Pelodiscus sinensis: one gene and its partner. The protein of the gene in region 1 binds, or shares a complex with, the protein of each later gene. Links are inferred from orthologs where the notes say so. Each region holds a gene or a part of one and is shown in the gene's direction. Other genes may lie near its edges.

Evidence for each region. Proteins that work in one complex are often made in the same cells at the same time.
Region 2: the proteins of WDR20 (region 1) and USP46 are in contact, whole or in part, in a crystal structure (PDB 6JLQ), measured with the Homo sapiens proteins. The link is inferred for Pelodiscus sinensis from reciprocal best matches to the Homo sapiens genes WDR20 and USP46. Residues at the interface, in NP_653175.2 of Homo sapiens: Asn41, Ser42, Gly44, Arg151, Lys259, Tyr261, Phe262, Gly263, Glu282, Asp283, Asp284, Leu285, His301, Lys304, Ser305, Trp306, Gln374, Asp375, Thr376, Leu509, Arg516, Met517, His533, Glu534, Arg535; in NP_073743.2 of Homo sapiens: Asn205, Thr206, Ser207, Thr209, His210, Arg213, Arg273, Val275, Phe276, Pro277, Glu279, Leu280, Arg281, Phe283, Asp293, Met295, Gln338, Glu342, Tyr344, Thr347, Ser348.

The regions. Positions count from the first base shown.
Region 1 is NC_134714.1:22,293,408-22,303,603, reverse strand, and holds the start of WDR20 (WD repeat-containing protein 20), read left to right. Parts: upstream 1-6,138; 5' UTR 6,139-6,174; coding exon 6,175-6,438; intron 6,439-10,196. UniProt on the Homo sapiens protein: Regulator of deubiquitinating complexes. Activates deubiquitinating activity of complexes containing USP12. Anchors at the base of the ubiquitin-contacting loop of USP12 and remotely modulates the catalytic center of the enzyme.
Region 2 is NC_134715.1:86,481,735-86,492,091, forward strand, and holds the start of USP46 (ubiquitin carboxyl-terminal hydrolase 46), read left to right. Parts: upstream 1-5,678; 5' UTR 5,679-6,121; coding exon of another isoform or gene 6,122-6,157; intron 6,158-8,487; 5' UTR 8,488-8,528; coding exon 8,529-8,609; intron 8,610-10,357. UniProt on the Homo sapiens protein: Deubiquitinating enzyme that plays a role in behavior, possibly by regulating GABA action. May act by mediating the deubiquitination of GAD1/GAD67.

The DNA.
Region 1 (10,196 bases):
TCATCAGTCTAGTCCCCTGCATTCCTGGCAGGACCAAGCACCATCTCATCCCTGATAAACATTTATCTAACTTCCTCTTAAATACCTCTATCAGATGTTAAGGAGAATAATTTTTCTCCTTACTCCATATAACACCCTTTTAGGTACTTGAAAATTGTTATGTTCCCTTCTTAGTCTTCTGTTTTCCAAGCTAAACAAACCCAATTCTTTCACTCTTCCTTCATGGGTCACGTTTTCTAGGCCTTAATGATTTTGTTGCTCTTCCCTGGACTGTCTCCAATTTCTCCACATCTTTCCTGAAGTGTGGTGCTCAGAACTGGACACAATATTCCAATTGAGACATAATCAGCACAGAGAAGAGCAGAAGAATTTGTTTCTCATGTCTTGCTTAACAACACTCCTGTTAATGCATCCCAGAATGATGTTTGCTTTTTTTTTTTTTTTTGCAAATGTCACGCTGTTGACTCATATTTAGCTTGTGGTCCACTCTGACCCCTAGATTACTTTCTGCAGTATGCCTTTGTAGACATTTTGTATGTGTGAAACTGATTGTCCTTGCATAAGTGGAGTACTTTGTATTTGTCCTTATTGAACTTCATTCTAATTACCTCAGACAATTTCTCTTGTTTGTCCAGATCACTTTTAATTATAACCCTATCCTCCAAAGCTCTTGCAAACCCTCCCAACTTGGTATAATCCACAAACTTTATAAGTGTACTTTCTATGACATCTACATCGTTGAAGATGATATTGAATAGAACTAGTCCCAAAACTGATCCCTGTGGAACCCCACTTGTTATACCCTTCCAGAATGACTGTAAACCATTGATAATTACTCTGTGAGAACTGTTATCCAAACAGTTGTGCACCCACCTTACAGCAGCCCCATCCATGTTGTATTTCCCTAGTTTATTGATAAGAAGATCATGCAAGACTGTATCAAATGCCTTACTAAAGTCTAAGTATACAATGTCTACAACTTCCCCTTATCCACAAGGCTTGTTATCCTATCAAAGAAAGCTATCAGGTTAATTAGATATGATTTGGTCTTTACAAATCCATACTGACTGTTGCTTATATCACCTAATTATCTTCCAGCTGTTTGCAGATGGATTCCTTAATTATTTGCTCCATTATCTTTCCTGGCACAGAAGTTAAACTGGCTGGTCAATAGTTTCCTGGGTTGTCTTTATTTCCCTTTTTATAGATTAGCACTATATTTGTCCTTTTTCCAGTCTTCTGGAATCTCTCCCATCTTCCATGACTTTTCAACAATGATAGCTAATGGCTCAGTTTATATGGTTGTTCAAGTGTGTATGGTTTCTATTCTTCATACAGTACATAGGTAGAGAAATACCAGTCCATTTTGGTCAATTTCATGATCATAGAATTTTTTAAAATTGTCAATTTCATGATTTCAGCTATTTATAATTGAAATTTCACAGTGTAGTAATTGTACGAGTCATAACCAAGAAAAAGAGTTGTGTGTGTGTCAGCCGACGGGGAGATGTTGCAAGTGGATCATAGTTCTGCTACCATTCTGCACTGCTGCTGTTGAAAGCACTGCCTTCAGAGCTGATCAGCTGGAGCATGGCACTTGCTGGCTGGGAGCCCAGCAGTGAATGCAGAGCTGCCACCAGTGGCAATGTAGAAGTAAGGATGGGATGGGATCATACTGCCACCTTTACTTCAGCAGCCACCACTCTCTAGCCACTTAATTCCAAAGTCAGCGCAGAAGTGTGGGTGGGAATATTGTGATCTGCCCCTAAAATAAAATGCCCCTGCTTCTCCCTTCTGGATCAGAACTCCCAATTTGAGAAATACTGATCTCCCCTCATTAAATCTGTATAACAGAGGGTAATAGCACACAACACTTGATTTCATGGGAAAGACCAGGTTTCATGGTCTGTGATGTTTTTTTCTATGGCAGTAAATTTGGTAGGGCCCTATACATAGGCAGTCCTATCTTTTCCTATTATAGCTTTCCTCTTAACTGTTTTTAGTTCATAATACTGAACCAGCTTTGCAAAACATGTGCAGCTTCCTGACCTTCTTACCCCTGGTCTACTCCTCTTTCAGAGTGGTAAACGTAGTGTACTCCTCCATGAACTGGCTTCCCTGAAGGATTCCATTAAGGTTCCCCATCCAGAAGTGCTAGAAGCCAAGCCAAGTTCTCCATTAGAGATCTATCCCTAAGAGCACTATATGCTGGGACCTCAAACATTGAAGGGTTCCAGAGCCTCCTCATCCTCATCACTGAATGCAGCAGTGGCTGATACCTGTACCACCATACTCCTGGTGATGGACAATAGGGTACACCAAGACCTTCTCAGAAGAGTGAGCCAAAATGTACACCTCCAAGTGGTGGACATGACATAACAGAAGACTCAGACCTGATGGTGGACATTCTTGCTCCAGAAGGTCTTTCCAGGGTAGACTTGACTCATGTAAAGCCTATTCAAACCACCACAAAGGGGCTATGGCAGACCCCAGCCTCCATATTGCCCATAGCTAATGGGGCAGAGAAGAAGTATTTCATGCCACAGAAAGATTACAAACATCTTTTCATGCCCCCTCAGCAGGGGCCCTTTGTCATTGATGTGGCAAAGCACAAAGAGGTCTTTATTGTACATGTTCCCACCCTTTCCACTAATACCCTTTCCACTAATTTAAAATGATCTGGACAAATTGGAAAATTGGTCTGAGGTAAACAGGATGAAGTTTAATAAAGACAAATGTAAAGTGCTCCACTTAGGAAGGAACAATCAGTTTTACACATACAGAATGTGAAGCGACTGTCTAGGAAGGAGTACGGAAGAAAGGAATCTAGGGGTTATAGTGGACCACAAGCTGAATATGAGTCAGCAGTGTGATGCTGTTGCAAAAAAAAGCAAACATGATTCTGGGTTGTTGTGAGCAAGACACGAAAAGTCATTCTTCTGCTCTATTCTGCGCTGGTTAGGCCTCAGTTGGAGTATTGTGTCCAGTTCTGGGCACTGCATTTCAAGAAAGATGTGGAGAAATTGGAGAGGGTCCAAAGAAGAACAACAAAAATGATTAAAGGTCTAGAGAACATGACCTATGAAGGATGGCTGAAAGAATTGGGTTTGTTTAGTTTAGAAAAGAGAAGATTAAGGGGGGACATGATAGCCGTTTTCAGGTATCTAAAAGGGTGCCATAAGGAGGAGGGAGAAAACTTGTTCATCTTGGCCTCTGAGGATAGAACAAGAAGCAATGGGCTTAAACTGCAGCAAGGGAGGTTTACGTTGGACATTAGGAAAAAGTTCCTGTCAGAGTAGTTAAACACTGGAATAAATTGTCCAGGGAGGTTGTGGAATCCCCATCTCTGGAGATATTTAAGGGTAGGTTAGATAAATATATATCAGGGATGGTCTAGTCAGTATTTGGTCCTGCCATGGGGGCAGGGGACTGGACTCGATGACCTCTCGAGGTCCCTTCCAGTCCTAGTGTTCTATGATTCTATGATACACAAGATCCTCCTCAAATCCAGCAGAACAAGGCTTCAGTCATCCTTATAGCACCAGCGGGGCCAAAGCAGCACTAGTTCCCCAGGCTGCTGAACCTGTCAGTTTCTCCACCTCATGGCATGGAAACTCCATGGCTGAACCAGATTGAGCTGCGGTGTTCAGACTTGGTTAGGGAAGTTTTACTGGGAAGCACAAAACCCTCCTGTTAGCAAAGGCACACTAACAGAATAGAATTTATTAAATATAGGGCCTGATCTGGAATGGTGATATAATGCTTTTGTCTCAGAAGAGGGTTCGTCCTGGAACCTGCCATATCTAATCACCGGTCGATTTTACAGATTCCAATAAACACAGACTCACTTTCAAATTTAACAGAAATATATATATTGTAAAAACACAACAGGTGAAACACTATAGTCAATAACAATGAATCAATACTGAACAACTCTTCTATCAGAGTCTTCCAGCAAGAAGGAACTGACCAGATGACACATTGGCACAAACCTATATGTACCACAATAAGGGCACCACTCTAGGGAGTTCCACAGCCAATCCGATGGGTATCAGTAGGGAAAACCTTCTGATGATTATACATTCAGCATGCAATAACACACACACCTTGGAATGGACATGAGCAACATATCTCGAAGAACAACCATTACAAGCAATAGGCAACCAATTTTTTTTATGTCAATAGTTGGGGAATCTGAGTCCAATAAAGATAATTTTGTAAAATGTTTCCTAGAGAATGATTTCTTTTAAGATGTTAATTTTTTTGCTTTGGCAGGTTTCAGTTGTAACTTGCTACCTCTGTAATTTAACAATAAAAGATAATAAACACTTTGAATGCTTACAAGTTTAGCTTTCTTGCCAAACTGCATGAAAAGATTGCTTTTCCTATATGCCATTTCAGAAGGTGTTATTAATCACTTATACCTCACAACAGTGTTGTTTCTAAACCTACAGTACAAGCAGAGCTAACATGTAAGGGCAAGATCAGCACAATCCTATTATTAAAAAAGGGTAATGAGAGTAGCAATTCAGATGCTTTAGTAGCACTGGGAGCACTGTGAAAAAGGATGCTACCTTAGCAATACCTTATCAACCAATCCACTTTCCATTTTGAAGACTGCAAAATTTTACAACCCATTTGGAGTGTTTTAAAAAAGATATCCCCTAATTCACAAAAATAACCTCATTGTTTGTTATATGTTTGACTATCATGCATCATGCATCTAAAATAATAATCCTATATCTTTCTACAGTGCCTTTCATTTGAGAATCTCAAAGCATTTGACTTATCAGTTTGCGTTCACTGTGTATTTAAGATGGTGGTATTTCTATTTGGAATTTTTGGCCTTGATTCTTTCAGTTTATTTCTGCACATAGAATTTCTGCATGTTTGCAATACCAAGCCCTGAATCTGGGCTTTGCCAGCAGAGAGGTGCCATGAGGCTGGGAGAATCAGACACTGGAGGGTCCCTCAGCATAAGAGGGTTTACTCTAGTGGCATAGGATCCAAAAATGCCCTTCTTTGCAGACCAATGCATACATATTCAGGATGAAGAGAGGGAGTGTCAATGGTAGGAGGAGTCATGATTGGAGCATACTGAAACCCAGCTATTTAAGGCTGTTGCAAAAGTGAACATTAAAACAATCTGGCACTGCTCTAATTTATGCCAGGAACTAAATTCAGGTGGCTCCATAACCCAGGATATGCTAAGACAAACCAGGACTGGGAGAGCAGCTGGCACAGAAACACTCTATTATCCTCTTGCTGGCTGCAAATTTCCCCTGTGGCCATTTCTGCCTAATGTAAGGCACCTTTCTTTCTATGTGCTGCTGGAGTGGCAACAAAGGGCACATGAGAACTGGGCCCTTTGGTTTATATTTGATTAGATGCCTATTGATAGGTGTATATTTATTCAATAATGATGCCTAATGTTGCCCTGTAAATTAGTGAGAACAATCATAGGAGGTGAATGTGGGCACAGAGAGATGAAGTAATTGTCCAGGGTCACAGCAAGCAAGAATCTCAAGAGTATTCCTGACTCTCACAGCTGACAATTTTCTAAGATAGGAACAAACATGGTGCACAGTGGTAAGTTATCCAGCACCTCAGAATGCTGCAGGATGCTCTGTTAAAACCCTGCCCCAGAACTAAATCACCCTTTGGAGTCCCAAGCCCAAGGCATTAAACCCTGCTTGTGGGCAGGGACGCTGGTGAAGGTGCTGAGAGCCATTGAACCACACTGTAAGCCCTGGATATAATGGGAACCACTTAAAGCGAGGGGGTGCCACAGCACACCCCGCACCCTTCATGCCAGTACCTAAGCCCTCCCCCATCTGTCCACAGCACCACTTCCCCTCCTTCAGACACTGCCCTCCTCGCCAGAGGTCTGACAGCCAGCTCCTGCGCTGACAACCAATAGCAGCTCTCCGTGGGCGAGCCCCGCTCGCTCGCCTGAAGGCCCGCCCCGCCCTGCCTCTCCCAAGAGAAGGCTCCTCCCCTCTCCCCCACGAGGGGCCGCCCAGGTTTCAGGCCAGCTGGCACATGCGCAGAAGCGCAGTAAACAGACGGACTCGCTCCTCCCCCTTACGGCTTTTGCGCGTCGAGCCTGGGGTACAGCGACTGAGCGGCTGCGCCTGCGCCGTGGGGGCACATCCGGGCACTGGGGCAGGATGAATGCTCCTTTCCAAGATGGCGGCGGAGGGAGGAGGGAAGGAGATGAACGAGATTAAGACCCAGTTCACTACCCGGGAGGGGCTGTACAAGCTGCTGAGCCACTCGGAGTACAGCCGGCCCAACCGGGTGCCCTTCAACTCCCAGGGCTCTAACCCGGTCCGCGTCTCCTTCGTCAACGTCAACGACCAGAGCGGCAACGGCGACCGGCTCTGCTTCAATGTGGGCCGGGAGCTCTACTTCTACATCTACAAGGGGGTCCGCAAGGTACCGGGGCAGCCGCGGGGCGGGAGAGGCCAGGGGCCAGAGCTGCTCGGAGCACGGGGGGCGTGCCGGGGGGACCTGCTTGGTTGCAGTGTGGGCCGGGAAGCTACCTGCGAGGGCCGGGGGAGCCGGACGCCAGGCCAGCGAGCGGGCTTTGCACCCTTCTGCGGGGGTGGAGGGTGCCCACACGGTTGTGGGGCCTTCCCAAGCGGAGGCGCTTTGTGGCCGAGAACTGTGCCTGCTCGCAGAACAAGGGGTTGTGCATGGTGCCGGGCTGTGGGGAACAGGATTTCAGGCCTCAGGTAGAGGTGTGAGGGGAGATCCCTGAAAGGGACTAGTGTTGGGGGCTACTTAAAGGCCATATGACTGGAAAGGGACTTCTTGGGTCGTGGAGTGCAGACCCTTGCTGTGGCTGGCAACCGTGTCCTGTAATCCCAGAAATACATTTAAAAACTAGTTTAATTTTTAACTCACCGGCTAAAGTATGTTCCTTGTATAGTCCCTTCTTTGGCTGGAGGCAGTAGGTTCGGTAATGTAACCGGCTATTATAGGCTGAAGACTATAGGACACTCTCTGCAGGGTGTATGGTATTAGCACGGGGCTGCCAAATCTCTCTTAGGGTGGGGTTTTAGTTTTATTTTGGTCAGGAAGAAATATTTCACATTCAAAATGAAAAATTAGAGGTCTGATGTTTTAAATGACCATCTCTAGATAGGCCTAGTGGAGTGAACTGAGTACTTTAAAGGCTGAGATTTGATAATTCTAATTATGACATATTATAAAAGCTTTCTTTGTGAGAGAAGTACTAATTCCAAATATGGCTCCCAACCTGTGAATATTTGATGATGCAGGTCTAATAGTTGGCAAACAATCCCCATTTAAATATATGTAATTGCTGTCTTGACTGCTTGGTACTATGTGATTCCTTCTGATAATTTGCATCACCAACTGAGCAAGTGTCATGTTTAATATATATAAATATAAACATAACTAATCTGGAAGGTCTATTGAGATGTTATCTATTTATCTTGGGTACATATGAACCCTCTCTTCCAATTACTACAATATGTGAGCATCTTAAACTATATCCTTTAAAGTGTATATCCTTTTAACAGTTCTGAAATGAAAGGAAGAATTATTATTCCCACTTTAGAAATGGGGTTTGAGGCATAAAGAGATTTAGTGATTCACCCAAGGTCACATTGGAAGTTTGTAGGATAGCAAGTTATTAAACCTGGGTTTACGGAGTTCCAGGTGAGTGCTCAAACCCACTCTTTCTTGCTTGGTAATGCATGTAAAATGTAAGCACTACCTAACTGCAGAGTCTAGTAAGGATCAGTTGGTAATGTCTAACAACTGAAAAGGCACAACTTGAGGAGTTTAGTTGTATGAAACAAGTGCATATGCACACTTGAGTTGACATTTACATTATTTAACTTAATATGTTACGAGTCTTGATAATTTGGGGATGGCTTAAGTAATTGTGAATTAAATTTAAATACTGATTTGATATTTAAGTTCCTAGAGTGGTTGATATTGAACAGTTATTTGCCCATTCTTATGAACAAATGTCTTTAAAGCAGAAGTATTATAGTCCATATAGTGGCCTTTCTACATGAGTCAGTGAGGATATTTCATATGGTTAAAATCTGTCCATCTTCTAACCCCCTTGTGACAGCTACGAGTCTATTATTTTGTACTTAGTTTTCAGTATAGAATAATTGCAAACTTCTGCTACTGTTTTATTTAGAGCAGCTCTACATGTGACTCTTACCAAAATCTTTTTTAGTCATTTATCTCACTTAAAGAAAAGTCTAGAAGCTGAAAATGTGCCATAAAAACAGGGAGCTGAGCAATTTTACAGTTTCTGAGTATTTATCTGCATTCTTCTAATAGTTTTCAATATCTTTGGTAAAACAGTATTTATCTTTGTATTTGGGGTATAATAATAATTGAAACTGTACCTATTTGCTGGATGTCTGAGAGTTTTGTGGCATATTATAAACTCTTCAGATAATATAGTAAAATATACTAGCTGTTTAGAACAGAATTTGTTAGAGTTGGTCAAAGAAATGTTACCAGTAAGACCTTCAGGACAGATACTTGGATTATTGTTTACATTATGAATGTATTTGGAAATATCAATGAACTTGAAATCATTATGATCTCTTCTGCAGATTGGGGCCCATTCCTTTGGTTTTGTGTAGAAAATTGATATTAGCATAGGGAAGAGAAGATTCTCAGCTGACAATTACAGCTGTTGGAATGATTAACATAATTTTCATAAAGAAAAGGGCCATTTGTTACAAAACTTGCTACTGCTTCTTTCTGTGGTATATAAGGAGAGAAAGAAGAGCTCAATGGTAAATTAAATTAGAAATGTAAAACACTCTTAAAATAAATATGTATAAACTGCTGTAAACTTCACTTACAGCATGGTTCTAAAGTTGTCTAGATTAGAGAAAATTTAGTCAATACTAGTTACCCAAGACTGATTAAACTTGGGTACTTAACCTGTGTTTATGCTGGGAAAATGTTAAACTCAATTTTAGCAGCTGCTTCTGGTGAACAATGTAAGTCTGAATTTACACTTGGAAGTGAGGTGTAGGATTTTTTGGGTATAGTTTAGTGTGTAGTATATACTAGGATGTAATAATGTAGTTGATTAACTGATCAGCAGAAGCTTATAGATTAATGCTAGACTATACTCATTCCCTCATCCCCACAGTAATTTTTTTAACAGGCTGGCCAGCAGCCTGACTCATGCTGGGTGCAGGGCCTACCCCAACTGTGGCTCTGCATTTAAAGTGTATTAGGAGCAGCCTGGCTCAGTTCCAGTTTGTGCTGGGCCTGGGAGCTCAGACACCCTCTTCCCTCTACACACAGACAGGGGCTACTTTATCAGAGGCAGCAGCACAAGGTGACAAGCAGCTGGTCCACAAGAGGAGCTGGTTTTTAAACTGGCTTCACTTGTGCAGGAGCTCCTGCCTGGAACCCTGTGCTGCTGTCTGCTCTGCCCCCAGGGACTATAGAATAGTCCGCTAACAGATAAGAATTGATGAGGTTATTCAATTAACCATACTCAACATTCCTAATATATACATATGACTTGAATGATCAGGAGAAATAAAGTTTAGTTTAAACCAGTGATTATAATTATAGCTCAGGTATGTTAACTAAAGCAAATTGAAGTTTGCATTTTAAAGTTGCAGTATAACTTAGGTTAAAAATAATGTTTTAATTTTATCACCTCTTCATACCTGTTAAGCAGTCTTTAAAAAGGCCTTGTTCATTAGTTTCTGCTCATGTTTCTGTTGAGGTTAGGGAAGGAATTGCTGGTGTCTTCAGAAGTAGCAGGGTTCATTCCTCAGGTTTAGGTAACTGCTTGCAATTGGATCTTTTCCAATTAAATAACTTAAATTAACCATGGTACATACTAAATAAAACTGTGAAAGAACTAGTGCATGTGTAGTGCATGTGCAGTGCGGGTCTCGCGCATGTGCAGTGCGGGGCTGGCGAGTAGTTTTTGCCACGATCGTCGAGCCCTGCCAATAAGGATGTTAGCATGTGTCCATGTACACAATTAACTGCGGAGTCTGGGCTCATTGGTTAATCATAACTGATATATGCAGCCTTCCTCCCCACCCATGCTTTCTGCCTCTGTATCAGAGGCAGTGTGGGAGAGGTGGGAGCCGGTGCTCAGGGGAGCCAGCTTTTAAGATGACTCTCTATGCATGCTGGCTCCCACAGAGTGGGCTCCT
Region 2 (10,357 bases), on another chromosome or scaffold:
TCCATCCTCCTTGGAACCTCCCTTCAGGAAGTTGAAAGCTGCTATCAAATCCCCCCCTCACTCTTCTCTTCCGCAGACTAAACAAACTCAAATCCCTCTGGGTATGTCTACACTACCCCGCTAGTTCGAACTAGCGGGGTAATGTATGCATACCGCACTTGCTAATGAAGCCCGGGATTTGAATTTCCCGGGCTTCATTAGCATAAGCGGGGAGCCGCCATTTTTAAATCCCCGCTGCTTCGAACCCCGTGTAGCGCGGCTACACGGGGCTCGAACTAGGTAGTTCGGACTAGGGTCCTATTCCGAACTACCGGTACTCCTCGTGAAACGAGGTGTACCGGTAGTTCGGAATAGGCACCCTAGTCCGAACTACCTAGTTCGAGCCCCGTGTAGCCGCGCTACACGGGGTTCGAAGCAGCGGGGATTTAAAAATGGCGGCTCCCCGCTTATGCTAATGAAGCCCGGGAAATTCAAATCCCGGGCTTCATTAGCAAGTGCGGTATGCATACATTACCCCGCTAGTTCGAACTAGCGGGGTAGTGTAGACATACCCTCAGTCTCTCCTCAAAGGTCATGCGCTCCAGCCCCCTAATCATTTTGGTCGCCCTCCGCTGGACCCTCTCCAATGCGTCCACATCCTTTCTATAGTGGGGGGCCCAGAATTGTACACAATAGTCCAGATGTGGCCTCACCAGAGCAAAATAAAGGGGAATAATCACTTCTCTGGATCTGCTGGCAATGCTCCTCTTAATGCAACCTAATATTCCATTAGCCTTCTTGGCTACAACGGCACACTGTTTACTCATATACAGCTTCTCATCCACTGTAATCCCCAGGTCCTTTTCTACAGAACTGTTACTTAGCCATTCAGTCCCCAGCCTGTAACAATGCTTGGGATTCTTCCATCCCAAGTGCAGGACTCTACTCTTGTCCTTGTTGAACCTCATCAGATTTCTTTTGACTCAATCCTCTAATCTGTCCAGGTCACTCTGGACCCTATCTCTGCCCTCCAGCGTATCTACCTCTCTCCCTATCTTAATGTCATCTGTGAACTTGCTGAGGGTGCAATCCATCCCCTCATCCAGGTCATTAATAAAGATATTGAACAAAACCAGTCCTAGAACAGATCTTTGGGGCACTCCGCTAGAAACCATCTGCCAACCTGACTGAGCCGTTGATGACTACCCATTGGATCCAACAGTCTAGCCAGCTTTCTATCCATCTTACAGTCCACTTATCCAATCCATAGTCCCTTAACTTGCTGGCAAGAATATTGTGGGAGACCCTATCAAAAGCTTTGCTAAAGTCAAGGCATGTCACATCCACTGACTTTCCCATATCCACAGAGCCAGTTACCTCATCATAGAAGCTAATCAGATTGGTCTGGCAGAACTTGCCCTTCTTGAATCCATGTTGACTATTCCTGATCACTTTCCCCTCTTCCAAGTGCTTCAAAATGGATTCCTTGAGGATCCCCTCCATGATTTTTCCAGGGACTGAGGTAAGGCTGACCGGTCAGTAGTTCCCTGGATTATCCTTCTTCCCTTTTTTAAAGATGGGCACTACATTTGCCTTTTTGAAATCATCCAGGATCTCTCCCGATCTTCAAAGATAATGGCCAAAGTCTCCGCAATGACATTTGCCAACTCCCTCAGTACCCTCAGATGCATTAAATCTGGGGCCGTGGATTTGTGTATGTTTAGCTTTTCTAAATAGTTCCTAACTTGTTCTTTCCCCACCAAGGGCTGTCCACCTCCTTCCCATACTGCGTTGCCTAGTGCATTTGTCGGGGAGCTGTCCTTGTCCGTGAAGACAGAGGCAAAGAAAGCATTGAGTATTTCAGCTTTTCCCACATCATCTATCACTAGGTTACCTCCCTCATCCAGTAAGGGCCCCACGCCTTCTCTGATTACCCTCTTATTGCTAACATGCCTGTAGAAACCTGTCTTGTTGCCCTTCACATCCCTGGTTAAGAAAGTTCCAACCTGTAGTTTCTATTTTTAAAGATGTTTCACTCTATCTGGGCTGTGTAGTTGTGGCAATCAGTAATTTATTTGCACTGGCTGTGTCTACATTGGCATCCCTTTCCGGAAAAGGGATGTTAATGAGACACTTCGGAATTGCAAATCCGCGGGGGATTTAAATATCCCCCGCGGCATTTGCATTTACATGGCTGCCGCTTTTTTCCGGCTCGGGGTTTTTGCCGGAGAAAAGCGCCAGTGTAGACACGATTCTCCGGAAAATAAGCCCTTTTCCGGAGGATCCCTTATTCAAGGATATTTCCTACTTGAATAAGGGATCCTCCGGAAAAGGGCTTATTTTTCGGAGAATCGCGTCTACACTGGCGCTTTTCTCCGGCAAAAACCCCGAGCCGGAAAAAAGCGGCAGCCATGTAAATGCAAATGCCGCGGGGGATATTTGCAATTCCGAAGTGTCTCATTAGCATCCCTTTTCCGGAAAGGGATGCCAATGTAGACACAGCCACTGTGTGTGCAATGTCCTGCCCCACAGAAACTGCACAGACACTACTGATTGTGAATTCACAGTGCCACTTATTTGAGTCCTCTCCACAAACACTATTTAATCCCCATACAACAGTCTATTTAAAATAGCCTCTGTGCTTTTGACCCTCACATCAGGATCTGTGATAAGTAGAGATCTCTCTTCCCTGAGGTTTCTGTGGGTACGTCTACACTTGCTCCCTAGTTCGGACTAGGGATGCAAATGTAGACAAGTGAAGTAGCTAATGAAGCTGGTATTTAAATATCCCGCGCTCCGTTAGCATGATCTCGCTGGTGCACTAGTTCGAATCACAGCTGATTCGAACCAGGAAGTGCGCGCCAGGACGTGTTAGTTCGAACCAAAGCCCTTGGTTCGAACTAACATTACTCCTAATTTTTTAACGTTACTCAAAAAAATGAGGAGTAATGTTAGTTTGAACCAAGGGCTTTGGTTCGAACTAACGCGTCCCGGTGCGCACTTCCTGGTTCGAATCAGCTGTGATTCGAACTAGTGCACCGGCAAGATCATGCTAATGGAGCACGGGATATTTAAATCCCGGCTTCATTAGCTACTTCACTCGTCTGCATTTGCATCCCTAGTCCGAACTAGGGAGCAAGTGTAGATGTACCCATATATGAGATCAGCTAGACCTGTTCCTCTCACCCAGAACTGCCTTCTCATGTCTCTTTACTGAGGGACTGGCCTAACTGGCTCTGTCTCACCCTGCTTTCAAACCTATATAACTACTTCAGTCTGCTGGCAGAGGAGAGAGAGTGAGGGTTGGAGGAGAAAGGCATGGACAAAGGAGAGAGAGCCTGCCAGGGATCTAGGGCTGCTCAAATGGCTGTAATTAGCTGGTATGTATTAGAACTTTACTCCAGCTGCTCTAATGAGAATTGGAGGCTAACTCAGGCCTCAGTGGCTCTTGGAGTGAGATGTGGGGTGCAGAAAGGTACATCTATTTCTCCTCTACCTCCCTTAATTGTGCCAAGCAGAGCTAGTGCAATTGAAAATCCTTAAATCAAAGTTTAATGAAATTCACGATGAGGGGCCAAATTATTCAGTAGCATAACAACACAAAATCAATGGAATTACATTTAAGATTACTTGTTTCAGTGTTTGTGACATCATTTTATCAGGTTAAGTTAGTGTTTGTGGAAGGAGATGGCCTGAAAGCACAGTGCTGGCCCTTTATCCACGGAGTGGAGATTACAAGTGTAGGTTGCCTCACTCTACCTTGTCTCCACAATAACCCAATCCTTGGCCTTGGCTAAGGCTGCCAATTTGTGCTAATTTTGATGGTGACATTTGTAGTGTGGCACCTATCCACTAGGAACTGGACTGAGGCCAGCAACTTATTTTACTTTGATCACCTACTGGCATTCTGATAGTAAGATTTCATCTTTCAGTCACAGTTGACTGGTGTCAGATTTTAATTAGTGATCTAAGGCCTGATTTTGCTGTTTGCACTCACTACTCTGGAAAAACTCCTTTTGCTTTCAGGGTGTTTTGCCTAAACAAGGTCTGCAAGGTTCAAGCCTCTGCAGACTGAAAGTGCCAGTATCAAGATGCAGGCAAAAAGGCATCTAAGTTCAAATTTGCTATACTTAATTTCCTGGGTATTGATCGTTTGTTTGTTTATTGAGAATCAGTGCATAGAGAATAATGTCTTCACAGCACAATTGTTTGCAGAGTATAGTTTCTTTTTAAAAGTTCTCTTTTTCATTTGAACCACTCCTTGGACAGACAGGTGGGAGTTTCTGGTGATAGTGTTTACAATGTGTGTTAGGACAATCAGAGTTAAAGTCTAAGATGTGGTGCCTGTATAACTGAATTGTATTCTTGCTTCTCCTACAGACTTGCTATGTGGACCTAGGCAAGTTATTTAACATTCTTTACCTGTTATCTCATCTGCAAAGTTGTTATACCAGTGCTAATTTCCCTTGCTGAGTGTTGTGAGGCTTAATTTATTGATGTTTGTAAAATGATCTTAGATCCTTGGATAGAATGTGCTAGAAAGCATGTGAGCCATTTATATACATGAATGTGTGCACACCTGCATACTCATTAAATTATCAAATTTGTAAAGCTAAATGTTACATATAGTACAATGATTGTGCAATTATCATTGTACAGCTATACATCACAAACTATATTGCTCCCACAGCCTTCAAAACAATAGCAAATAATAGATATTTCACACACAAATGTCTGTAGACTGTATAGTTCTGTGGCCCTTATAGGTCAGCTAAGAAGTATTTCTCTTTAGCACACATCACAAACAACTCAGCTCAAGCTGCAAATAAATCTAATCCAGTGGTTCTCAAGCTGTGGGCTGAGACAAGGAAGTAGGGTCACAACCCTTAATGAGGTCACCAGAGCTGGCTCACACTATCCGGGGGCTCCAGCCAGGCCAAAAGACCAAGCCTCACTGCCTGCGACCCAAGCCAAACTCCAAGGTCTTCAGACTCAAGTTACAGGCCCTCTGCCTGAGCTGAAGAACTTGGGCTTCTGCTTTGGTCCCTGCACTGGGAAAGGCTTGGCTCTGCCACCTAGGGCAGCTGGGCTCAGGCTTCAGTCTCCACCCTCGGGGGTCCTGCAATAATTGTTATTGTCAAAAGGCGGTCTGGTGCCATGAAGTTTGAGAGCGCCTGATCTAAACAAAGGCCTCTTCCCCGGCCCACACGGCTCAGCAGATCTGAGGAAGTGGGTCTGGCCCACGAAAGCTCATCATCTAATAAACCATCTTGTTAGTCTTTAAAGTGCTACATCGTCCTGCATTTTGCTTCAGATCCACCCTGTGCTTTTCGGTTGTCACAGCACCAATGCACATGGGGATTGGGGCGCCCTTCCTGGGGCTCCCAGCCTGAGCCCTTCACCCCTCTGAAACCAGCGGGGGCTTCGCTTGGTGCGTGCCAGAGCTAAGGGATCTGATTGGGCCCGAGCGCGGCCCCGGCCCATCTGCCTGCTGAGGGCAGCACGGCCGGTCCCGCGGCCCCTCCGCACACCACCAGCCGGGTAAACAGCAGCCGAGCAGGGAGCGTGACCCGTCGCCTTCCCCTCCCATGCACCGCATTGGCTGCCGCGTCAGCCGCCTCGGCGGGGCCTGCGCTGCGGGTTGGTGCCGCTGCATGCCACTTACCAGCGCTGCCCTGCCCTTCCCCGGCGCTGTCAAAGTTGATCACCGGGCGCTGCGCTGCAATGGAGCGGAGAGCGGGGAGAGCGGCCGCCAGGGAAGGCGGAGGAAGGGGGAGATTAACACGGCCCCGGCTGGCACAGAGGCGCGGCTGATCTCCCCATGCACTAAGGGGGAGCGAGCGGCGGGAGGGGGAGGGCCGCTGCTAGCGCCGCACGGTGAAATCTGCGGGTCAGCCCTTCGCAGGAGCAGCCGGCGGCGGCTCTAGGGCTGCGAGAATCCAGGCGCTTTCTGCTAGTTGTCTCTCTGCTCGGGGAGAAGCGGGGTGGTGTTAGAGGCTGTTTTACCCCCTTCCGCCTGCTTCCCTCCCAGCGTAACCTCGGACCCTCCTCCTCTCCCCCTCCCCGCGATCTTCCGACCATGAGCGTTTCTCTTTTCACCTTCTAAAGATGGCGGTGTGGGATCACTGCAACCTTTAGACTAATGACTGTCAGAAACATCGCCTCCATCTGTAATATGGTAAGTATTCGCTGACCTGCATGCTGGCTTCAGGGGAGGGGGACACAAGCCAACAACACCCACTGCTGCCAGATCAGAATGGGGGGGAGGGAAGGGAAAGGAAGAGGGGAGCCTCCTCTCCAGGTGCACTGGAGAGTAAAGTTAGGGTTATCCTTATTCCTGTTTAATCCCCTCGCTGGAGGCTGCTGAGATCTGGAAGTGGGTGAACTAAAAGACCCATGTGAAGATAAACATGAGATGTAATTCAAAACACTGTAGGCAGTGGTCTGAGGAGCTTAATCTACTGTCTCCTTGCACTGCATATAGGGATATTCTGTCTCCCCAAAGAAGGGGGAGATCAGCTGTCCAACCATCTACTCCTTCCCCCAGCATATAGGAGAGCAATGGACAGCCTAGGCTAGTGAGTGGGCCACATGAGTGGCCCTCCTTCGTTTCAGTGGGCCACAAGATTGTCGTAACAAGACAGCCTCCCAGGATAGGGTAGTTTTGCTAACTACATAGAACTTGTGGGGTGTGCCTAGTGAACCGTAGCAGCACTTTGATTGGATGCAGAGGGAGCACATGGCTCTTACAGTCAATGTTGTATGTAATCAGCAGGCTCTGGCTTTACATGCGTGTCACTTTAGTAATAGTGGTAGGGAAAAAAAACCCTATGTGGATGGAAACCAGAGGAATCTGGCAACCCTCTGCATGGGCAATGGTAAACAAAATGTCTTGTGGGCCACACAAAGACTACAGCTACACTGTAGCCTTCTTACGGAAAGCCTTATGCAAATGAAGCATGGCATGGAATATCACTGTACTTCATTTGCATAATTAATTATCAGCTGTTATTGCGCAAGAGCCTTTTGCGCAAGAAGGAGCTGTGTAGATGGCTCCTTTTTGTGCAAAAAACTCCTCTTGTGGAAGAGCTGTTCTTCCTGAAAAAGCTCCTTTTTGTGCAAAAGCCTCTTGCATAACAGCAGCTGCTAATTAATTATGCAAATAAAGCACGGTGATATTCCATGCTGTGCTTCATTTGCATAAGCTTTTCCTCAAGAAGGCTACAGTGTAGCCGTAGCCATACAACCCCAGTGGGCTCCATGTGGTCCATGGGCCACCACTTATCTAGGTATAAGGTATGGGAAAGAGTTTAGTACAGTGGAGGATCTCATCCTTTGTATTGTAGTATTTACACAAGCTGGCAAGTTTGCAGCTTATGGTTCCAATTAAACATTTGAGCCAATATTTCTAAAATTGAGTTCCTAAAAGTAGGTTCCTGACTCCATACTGGGGACCTAAATACAAGGCCTGATTTTAAAAATGTTGCTGAGCATCCAAAAGGTCCCACTAAAGCCAACAGAAGCTTTATGTGCTCAGCAGTTTTGAAAATCAGGCCTAGTTTATGCCTGTGGACTTAGGAGCGTACATTTAAGTACTCGTTTTTGAAAATGGCTGCAGGATCAGAATCTGTGTTGATTTTATATACCAATAGGGATTAGGGATATAAAAGGTTAACCGATTACCTGGTTAACCAGTAAGCATCACCCTAAATGGGCTATGGTTAACCAGTAACCAGGGGTTGGGAACAGCTTTCCTCCTACTGTGGGTAGGGTCTGCTCCAGCCCCACCGGGGACCCACCACAGAGAGGGGTTACTCTCGTCTAGAGCAGCCTCTGTCCATGGGGAGCCTGGATGCCACGCAGGTAAGGGTTGTTTCCCTGGGAGTCAACAGCAGCCCCAGGAACCAGCCCCAGCACAGGGCTGGGCATGGGAGTCCTGCAGGCACCAATCCTGCTTAGTCAGTTAACTGGTTAAACATTAGGTCAACCTAATGTTTAACTGGTTAACTGATTAACCGGAATTTTACATCCCTAAAGGATTGCAGGGGACATAAAGTAAATAAGAACTGACTTTGGCCCAAGATGTTGTTTCGAATATATTTTTGAAACATTTAACTTTCCCCACCCAATGATAGTATAAAGATTAGAAAAATAAATTAGAAACATGAATGTTGCATTTCAGTTTGTGTTGGGTCTTCCTGTCATATCCTCTTGTGGCAGAAAGCAGCAAGGTTTCTTTACACATTTGAATATGGTTTTCGTTTTGATTCTACAGACTTTGGGGTTTAATTACCCCAAAGTCTATAGAGTCAAAATGAAAACCATATTAGACCACATCGCCTTTGGATTTTTAAGATTTGTTTCGTGATAGTTTAAGGACTCAGATTTTAATAGACCTGCAAAAGAAAGCAATTTATGGGATAGATTATAAATGCCCCAAATAAATAATATAACATATTTCAGCACCCTTTGTTGTTGTAGTTTATATTTTTCCCACCTTGTTTTCAGGTCCTGCAAGAACAGTTACATGCAGTCGCCAGCTTCCTCCCATGTGGTGCTCCACCATACCCTTTGCTGGTGATGTCACACCCACCATTCATCAGCACTGGAGAATGGAGACTGCCTATAGGGTAAGGCAGTGGTTCTCAACCTGTGACTCATGACTCCCTTAGGGGTCACCAGCAGTTGTTCAGAGGAGTGAGGGGTTGTGAGCCTGCTCCCATTCATGTCTCCAGTTTTATGCTGAAGTCAGTTTGATAAGTCACTTGCAACCAGTCAGTTTCAAGTGCTAGGAACATCCCCTCCCCTACTTATTCTAAGGCCCTTATTGCCACTTTCAACACACCACCTTTTCTGAGGTGCTTTACAGGAGGATTGAATTTAGGGATAACATTATGAAAAAAGGTTGAGAATCCCCAGAACAAGATAATTTGGGTTCTTGCCTTCCCTCCCCGATGTGGTTTCCTAAAGTTTTCATTGTTCTAATTTTTTTAACCCTGTGGAATAGAAGGCAAATATACTGCAAAGAAATATATAGCAAGCCATACAGTATTTGGGGAGAAAACCTGGAGTTACTTATCTTACTCTGTAGGCAGGCTTCAGTTTTCAGTGTTTGATGAATGGTGGGTGTGATCACACCTAGACTGCATGCTACAGCACCGCATGAAATAAAGCTGGAGATTGTTAGAGGGTCACAAGAGTTTAACATTGGCATGAATCTTATGTTTCTACCCTAACCTACTCAGATTCTTTTAGAGTGATGCATTTGTGCTTTCCCCAAGGTCTAGAAGAACCACAGAACAAAACCAATTAGGTTTTCATTAGTTTTACTCTGCTATTGATTCTCTTACCCACCACTGGTAGGCAGCTGCATAAGTAACATCTTACGAATGTAGGACTACAGAGGGGAATCAGATCTAAACAGGAAAGGGATGCAAGGACAGAAAAAGGGGATGGTCTAGTGAAGCCTGATGTTCAGGACCAGTTGGTTTCTTGCACCCTTTGCTTGGGGTGGCAACAATACTTTATTTCTCTAACAATGACTTTCAGGTGAATGAAGAAGCTCTATCAGTGGACTCCAGAGGAAGCTATGTAAAGCCTATATAGGAGGACTGCTGCAGTGCACGTCCTTTTGCAGGTGAAGGCAAGTGGATCATAAAGTCTTCCCGCAAAGAGGGGCAAGAGAAGCAAGAAATAGGGAGGAGAGAGACTGGCACAAATAAAATGGGGAAAGGGAGAAGACAAGAACAAAATGCATAACATCCAAAGAGGGGAAAAGGCACTTAGAGTGGGGTTGGAGAAGGGTGAATGGAAATTGGTTGAAGTCAACCCTAGAGATCTATTAGTATAAATTCCAGCCAGGAATATTAATGCCCAGATCTTAATCCTAGACCATATCTCAGTGCTTGACACTAACTAGCACGGTTCTTCTTTGACCTAAAAATTAACCAGTTAAATGAGAAATATATTTGGAGTTTATTTCTTAATTAAAAGGAATTTAAAAAACTCACTCTGTTCTTTTCCCTTTCCCTTTCTAGTTCTCCTTCCATTTCAAAGTGTATGTATGGAACGATCATTCCCTGACAAAAAATAACAAAAACAAAAACCCTTCCCCTTTCTTGGCTGGTGTTTGTTCACCTATGCTTCCATAAATGTTTCTTATTTAGGTATTGAATGTAATAACAAATTATAGGTTTTGGATTGTAATGTTTGATTGATCAAGGATTTGGAAACTTTTATGTACTGGTCTCTAGATTTAATGAATGATATGAGAATTAACAGGGTGAAATTGGCTGGATCTAACTGGGTTAGAGTAGTAAGAAGAATACTTGTTGTGTTTTAATTGACTGCCTGAGGGTAATATATGTCAAATTGTAAG